2 linked regions of the Arabidopsis thaliana genome follow. The protein of the gene in region 1 interacts with the protein of each later gene in a pairwise test. Each region holds a gene or a part of one and is shown in the gene's direction. Other genes may lie near its edges.

Region 1 (4,443 bases):
GTTTTTTTATTTATTCCAAGAAATTAATATCTGAAAAATGTGTTACCATGTATAGCTGCACAATCGTCAGTCCTACAAAAGCCAAAAAAGGTTATAGCCCCAGCAAGCTTTAACCAATAAATTAAAATGGAGAAAAGAAGAAAAACATATGGTAAAAATAAAAAGAATAAAAGAGCTTTAATAAGTAGAAGAAGAGGTCCCCAACGTTAACTCTATCTTTACACATTGATGCATAATTCTCCACATATTAATAGTCCGTGTTTATAATATGTATAACTTTAAAAAATTGTTCCATATTCTTATGTTAATTTTTTTGTTTTAATTCAATATTCATTGACTGGTATTGGTCTACATTTTAACATGTACATGCTTTCCCTTAATTAATACTTAATATATAACCTCTAATAAATTTCTGATTCAATTCAAATTTTATTCTTAGATAATATTCTCTCTTTTTTGTGTGTGCATATCAGCCTCAGCCATATTCATTGACTTATTCTTGTTCTATGTAAATATGCTATGGGACCTCCCACTCATATATATTTAGGTTGACCATTTATTTTACATGCATGCAATTGAATTTAGGGGTTAATCTAAATCGTTGCGTATATGAATTATATATGATTTTAGTTTGTATATTGAAAAATGCATCGTCGTTCTATACATAAGCTAGTTTAGTAGCTAATAGGGCAATATTAACAAAGTTGATTTTCTGGTTTGTAGTGTCCATACAAGTAATTTAGTTAATTATCTCGTTTGTTCACCTTTTTGTTTCTTTTTTCTTTTGCTAGCTAGTTAATTGCGGATGTAAACTACATCTTTTACTAATCGATGAATGGAAAACGTTTTTGTCGTAGACAAATATTCCACCGTACCTAACGGTTTTGGATTGCATGTATATAATAAATTTGTTCCAAAAATATACGGTCTATTAATTTATAACGAAGCTCATCATTGCTTAGAATTGTATATTCACCTCATAATTAGCCAAAAAGGTTTACCCTACCATAAATGATAAAATCCCTAGCCTTGTGGAATTTGTTTCGTTAAGATATTTGTATGTATGCCTCCAATTACGATATATGACGATGTAGACAAACTATAAGTCTAGTATACGACTCTCCTCGTGCGGTCTTAATTGAATAGAATACATAGAACTTTAATATATTCACTTTAAAAGTTTATATTTTCCTATAAAGAAAATATTTACAAATCTTTGATTACTATTTACTCCAAATCAAGCATGATTAAGAAAATAGTATATAGAACAATTGTATGATAAATTTGGATTTAAAAATTACTTCTAAATTATAAGGTAGTAAAGAAAAAGAAACCAAAAATATAAGAATAATAGATGTGCAATATCTTTGATTCAGGTGAATTATATTTTAACTTAGATATCTCAAGTCATTTTAATGTTTATATCAGGAAATAAAGAAATAAAAACCATCATGCAACAAATCATGCATATATATTAGATACATCCGTAACCGCTTTTTTTCGTCTTTTTTTTTTGTTTTTTTCGTCGTCACATCCATAACCGTTTTGATATGAGATCTCCGATGTTCAAAATTCAATTTCCCCCAAAGATATCAATTTAATATCTAATATATACTATTATTTTAAGTTTGCGCAGTAATTTAATAATCTGAGACAGACATGATTTACTTAATGTATACGTATAGTGGCTTTTACACACATTTTATATTGAAAGAAATTCAAAGGTATTCAAGCTAAGAGGATAAAAAACACAAATGAAAAAGATAGCGACAGTATCTTTTCACAAAGGAACGTCTGTGTACTAGTCTGAAACTTTAGTTCTCTTCCTTACTAACGATAAAACATATTTAACTAAACCATAATTTATTTACAAACAAAACAAAAAAGACGAGAGAGAGAAAAAAAAGCCGTCATCTGATCTCTTCAAAAACGCATCGTATTCTCTCACATTTTTGCATCACATTCGTTTCTTGAATCCCCTCTTTCAGAGAGAGAAAGAGAGTCAGAGAGAGAGAGAGAGAGAATGTTCCATGCTAAGAAACCTTCAAGTATGAATGGTTCATATGAGAACAGAGCTATGTGCGTTCAAGGCGATTCAGGCCTTGTCCTCACCACCGACCCTAAACCGCGTTTGCGTTGGACCGTCGAACTCCACGAGCGTTTTGTGGACGCCGTCGCTCAGCTCGGCGGCCCCGACAGTATGAACACACATACACAAATATATATTCAATCCATTTAACCAATTATAAATGTGTTTTTTCAAAGTTTTTGATCATTTCTATTTGCAGAAGCGACCCCAAAGACGATTATGAGAGTTATGGGTGTGAAGGGTCTTACTCTTTACCACCTAAAGAGCCATCTTCAGGTATGTACACAAATATAGATTAGGGTTTTTTTCTTCCTTGCTTTTAATTTTCTCTCCTCTTTATCTTTTCTATTCTTTTTTTCACTTAATAATATAATATAATAATCTAACAACTTATTTGGATCTATGGGTGCAGAAATTCAGGCTTGGAAAGCAGCCGCACAAGGAGTACGGAGATCACTCCACAAAGGAAGGTTCAAGAGGTGACCACTCTTCCTTTCTCTATCAAATTAGGGTTTTTATAAAAAAGTTACCCATAATATAGATATGTATTAATGTATATATATGTTCTTTGATCCGTCTTCTTCTAATTTTTTTTACCGTACGTGTAGCTTCTGCCATGGATATTCAGCGCAACGTAGCTTCTTCTTCTGGCATGATGAGTCGCAACATGAATGAGTAATATTTTAATCAGATTTCGTTAATTTTCTCAACTTTCATTTTAATATATATTACAGCAACTCACACCAGGTTGGTTTGATCAGGATGCAAATGGAAGTGCAGAGAAGGTTGCATGAACAGCTAGAGGTAATTAATTAACCTATAGATATTCTATGATAACTGCTTGTACAAAATCAATTTGTATCCCATAAATATAGTAAATGATTTCATTCAATTTTTATAGGTGCAAAGACATCTGCAACTGAGGATTGAAGCACAAGGAAAGTACATGCAATCTATCTTGGAGAGAGCTTGCCAAACCCTAGCCGGTGAGAACATGGCAGCCGCCACCGCAGCAGCCGCCGTCGGAGGAGGATACAAGGGTAATCTGGGAAGTTCGAGTCTTTCAGCAGCGGTGGGCCCACCTCCTCATCCTCTTAGTTTCCCGCCGTTTCAAGACCTAAACATCTATGGAAACACAACCGACCAAGTCCTCGACCATCACAACTTCCATCATCAAAACATAGAGAACCATTTCACGGGTAACAATGCTGCAGACACCAACATTTACTTGGGGAAGAAGCGACCTAATCCTAATTTTGGTAACGATGTAAGGAAAGGACTATTGATGTGGTCTGATCAAGATCACGATCTTTCCGCAAACCAATCGATCGATGATGAGCATAGAATTCAGATACAGATGGCTACACATGTCTCCACGGATTTGGATTCTTTGTCGGAGATCTACGAAAGGAAATCAGGTTTATCAGGTGATGAAGGGAATAATGGTGGGAAATTACTGGAAAGGCCATCGCCTAGGAGATCACCATTGAGTCCTATGATGAACCCTAATGGTGGATTAATACAAGGAAGAAACTCGCCATTTGGGTGATACAATTTATTAATTTTTATCTATGAGTGATGCATGGGAATGTAAGAACGAGATATATATGTTTTGTCATTGTGAGTTTGACGTAGGGTTTAGAGATGAGACAAAACAAAACAAAACAAAAAAAAATAAAAAATATATAAGCTTTGTTATGTTTACCGGATTAGTTTTGCTCGTGTTTTATAATCTGTACGGAAACTATATATTATTGCTGTTCTTATAATATTTTAGGATCTATATATTTTGTACTTATTCGTTACTTATTTCTTCTAGTCAACTGTTTGATGATTGATCTTTACATTGTTAGTCTCAGTAGAATTGCCGAATATATGTTTTGTTATTCTTTTATCACCCACATAAAATCTGTAGTTGCCTTTTATGGTTAACTAGCTATTTTCATATTCTATGTTTGATAGCTTTTTTTAATGGCAATTTCAAATAAATTAAGTTTAATTTCTTACATCCGCAATTTTATTTCATATGTACATACTTGTACGATTTTCATATTTGACAGTTTGCCAATTAGAGGCATATAAAATGTGAATGTACTAAAGTATATCTAGTACATGTATATGATAAATCAGTACATATGTATATTACCTTAACCAGTATATATATCCCATGCATGAACGTAACTGTATATATGACAAATAATAAACATTTATGTGTTAAGAGCTAGGTTGCTCATGTTTCAAGGCATGTACGATATTTTAAAGCTTTTGAAGGGCCCTTTGCTTTTTCATGAGTTAGTTATTTCTATCTCAAGTTAGTTTGTACTTGATGCCTTATATATGATTACGCTAAAATG
Region 2 (3,488 bases), on another chromosome or scaffold:
TGATTCAGTTTCAGTATAAGTGTGGGCTATTCTTAAATGCAAGTATTTTTAGAGCAGTAACAAAAAAATGTTGTTTAAATTAGAGTATAAAACCGAAACAACCGATTCAGCAAAACCTCCAATAATAGACCGTACACCATAAACAGAAATATGGGTCCCACAAGAGAGCACTGTCCGTAGCTTCCCCTTCATTGGCCCTCTACGTGGCTCCTCTTGTAACCAATGTCATGTCATTTTCAAGTTTTACTTTCTTTTTTTATACTAATATCTTGTTTGTCGTTTTCTGTACCTTAAGGTCCTAAACCACTTTCTTTCGCGCACCATTCCTTGTCGTATTATTTCTCCGAATATGTCAATACCGTGAGACGACAATTGATAGCGAGAGGTAGCGAGAGAGAGAAACGTTCGTTGTGAAGATATTTTATTGCTGTTGTTGAGATTTGAGATATTTTATAGCTATTATTGGAATTTGAAAGTGATGTATAACTTGCTACTATATCGGTCTAATCCTTGGCTTAAACCAGTTTTTATTTAGTAATTTTATGCTCCTGTATTATTATTCGGTGGAGTATTTTTTTCTCAAAAAATATATGAGTCGAGTTTAAGAAATATATAAGCGAAAAAACAAAAAAAATATATATAAGCGGGGTTAATAGATCAACCACAATCAATTTAATTTGGACTTTAGAATTAATAAAATTGTTTACTTCGTAATTATTATTATTTTTGTTGTTCTGGCAAATCTGATAATCCAGATTATTATTAGACAAGTAGCGAAGGGACGGTGAACATTTATGATTTTAATTTGTATGTTGTAAGGAAAACAAAACAAATAAGTTCTGTAAAAAAGGTTTACCTTTCTACTTTGCCGGAAAACTCAACTCACGGTGGCGTCCGGCGAGTTTTCAGACCAAAAAGAAGGTTGGAAGAAATGAAGATGAAGAGGAGAGGACAAAAGATAGAGATGGTGGTTGAACAAAAGAAGAGTAAAGAGGACGAAGACGCTCTAAGTCTAAGCCAAGGGGGAGAAGAAGAGAAGAGGTATGAGGAGGAACCATACTTTTGTTAGAGAGATGCTGGAAATTGTGATCAACTACATGCAAAATGTCTTTTCGCCTAACCACTTACCATATTTGATATTTTCCTTTTGCCAAATTACACAAACCCTATCTTGTCTCTCACATATATATCCAATTAATACACCCCTGCCACTTGTTAATTCTCGACCATGTATGTATACTTATGTAAAGAATATCCAAAAGCTTTCTTTTTGTTCCTTCGATTTTAAGCAACTTGTGTTCTCATTTCTCAATATCTTAAAGAAATCCTGAGTAAAAAAGTTTATAGCCTCCGTGAATCTTAGGAAATTACTCTAGCATATTCAAATTTTTTGAAACAATATATAAATTTTTCTGAATAATTAAATTTACATATCTATGCTACGAAACTTGATTAATTAAATCAAATATATATATATATATATAATAATAATAATAATAATATAACATTTTTTTTAGGACACAAATATCTAATCTCACTATACTCTAGAAGTATTTGCAATGCACGATATGTGAATGGAGAAAAGACAGAAAGAGCATTTGAAAATATCTCGTTTCACGGATCATTATGTCTAATTATTTTACCATAGAAAAGCGACAATTATAAACAATTTGTTATTCGTGGAAAAATAATATTTAATAATGGTTGTCGTACCCTATAAACTACAGCCACACATTCATACAATAAGAAGTTAAAAAAATTCATACCCTAAAGGCATCAACCAGTGAAGGGTCAGAAACTTCCCAAGATGGGTCAAAGGACACATGTCAGATTCTCAGTGATTGACAGCCTTGATAATTACAAAACCGTGGGATCGCTTAGCTGTTTCTTATCCACGTGGCATTCACAGAGACAGAAACTCCGCGTTCGACCCCACAAATATCCAAATATCTTCCGGCCAATATAAACAGCAAGCTCTCACTCCAACATTTCTATAACTTCAAACACTTACCTGAATTAGAAAAGAAAGATAGATAGAGAAATAAATATTTTATCATACCATACAAAAAAAGACAGAGATCTTCTACTTACTCTACTCTCATAAACCTTATCCAGTTTCTTGAAACAGAGTACTCTTCTGATCAATGAACTCATTTTCTGCCTTTTCTGAAATGTTTGGCTCCGATTACGAGTCTCCGGTTTCCTCAGGCGGTGATTACAGTCCGAAGCTTGCCACGAGCTGCCCCAAGAAACCAGCGGGAAGGAAGAAGTTTCGTGAGACTCGTCACCCAATTTACAGAGGAGTTCGTCAAAGAAACTCCGGTAAGTGGGTGTGTGAGTTGAGAGAGCCAAACAAGAAAACGAGGATTTGGCTCGGGACTTTCCAAACCGCTGAGATGGCAGCTCGTGCTCACGACGTCGCCGCCATAGCTCTCCGTGGCAGATCTGCCTGTCTCAATTTCGCTGACTCGGCTTGGCGGCTACGAATCCCGGAATCAACCTGTGCCAAGGAAATCCAAAAGGCGGCGGCTGAAGCCGCGTTGAATTTTCAAGATGAGATGTGTCATATGACGACGGATGCTCATGGTCTTGACATGGAGGAGACCTTGGTGGAGGCTATTTATACGCCGGAACAGAGCCAAGATGCGTTTTATATGGATGAAGAGGCGATGTTGGGGATGTCTAGTTTGTTGGATAACATGGCCGAAGGGATGCTTTTACCGTCGCCGTCGGTTCAATGGAACTATAATTTTGATGTCGAGGGAGATGATGACGTGTCCTTATGGAGCTATTAAAATTCGATTTTTATTTCCATTTTTGGTATTATAGCTTTTTATACATTTGATCCTTTTTTAGAATGGATCTTCTTCTTTTTTTGGTTGTGAGAAACGAATGTAAATGGTAAAAGTTGTTGTCAAATGCAAATGTTTTTGAGTGCAGAATATATAATCTTTGGTCTCCCCATAAGCAACAAATCAAAATATAATACTATTACGTAATTCAGTGAATTGAAAACAAAAAGTTTGGGCTCACCTGTAAAATTAAAGTTAGATGATTCTGGCATTTCCGTGTCTAAGAAAAGTTCTAGGCACTTATGTAAATAGCAAAAGTTCCAGGTTGGTTGATAGCAACAGTTTCTGCCTTTCTGCTAATTCAGCAAATATCAAGACTCAAGGACGTTTGGTAAATATCCAAAGTTCCGTGAGTTTTTGTAAATATGATAAATTATAGGCACTATATAGATATCTAACGTTTCAAAAAATGTTTGACCCAAAAAAAAAAAAAAAGGGTTTCAAAAAATGTCTGCAAATAAAAAAAAAAGGATGCGGAGACACTTTTAATTTAGTCAAAGCTTTAGGCAGTAATGTAACTGAGAAACGATCCTATGTAAATAGCAAAAGATACAAAAAAAAAATAAAAAAAAAAAAATAGCAAAAGATACAAGATAGTGATAGTGTATAAGTAGTATCAAGAGATTTATATACAGT

What was found. The genes of interacting proteins can lie anywhere in the genome.
Region 2: the proteins of APL (region 1) and CBF2 interact in a two-hybrid assay, tested with the Arabidopsis thaliana proteins (one large-scale study listed by BioGRID).

Annotation. Positions count from the first base shown.
Region 1 is NC_003070.9:29,876,716-29,881,158, reverse strand, and holds APL (Homeodomain-like superfamily protein), read left to right. Parts: upstream 1-1,879; 5' UTR 1,880-2,023; coding exon 2,024-2,198; exon of another isoform or gene 2,199-2,288; coding exon 2,289-2,365; intron 2,366-2,501; coding exon 2,502-2,568; intron 2,569-2,697; coding exon 2,698-2,764; intron 2,765-2,850; coding exon 2,851-2,893; intron 2,894-2,990; coding exon 2,991-3,638; 3' UTR 3,639-3,931; downstream 3,932-4,443. UniProt on the Arabidopsis thaliana protein: Transcription factor required for phloem identity. Has a dual role both in promoting phloem differentiation and in repressing xylem differentiation during vascular development. Regulates the expression of the transcription factor NAC045 (AC A4VCM0).
Region 2 is NC_003075.7:13,014,743-13,018,230, reverse strand, and holds CBF2 (C-repeat/DRE binding factor 2), read left to right. Parts: upstream 1-1,995; 5' UTR 1,996-2,144; coding exon 2,145-2,795; 3' UTR 2,796-2,981; downstream 2,982-3,488. UniProt on the Arabidopsis thaliana protein: Transcriptional activator that binds specifically to the DNA sequence 5'-[AG]CCGAC-3'. Binding to the C-repeat/DRE element mediates cold-inducible transcription. CBF/DREB1 factors play a key role in freezing tolerance and cold acclimation.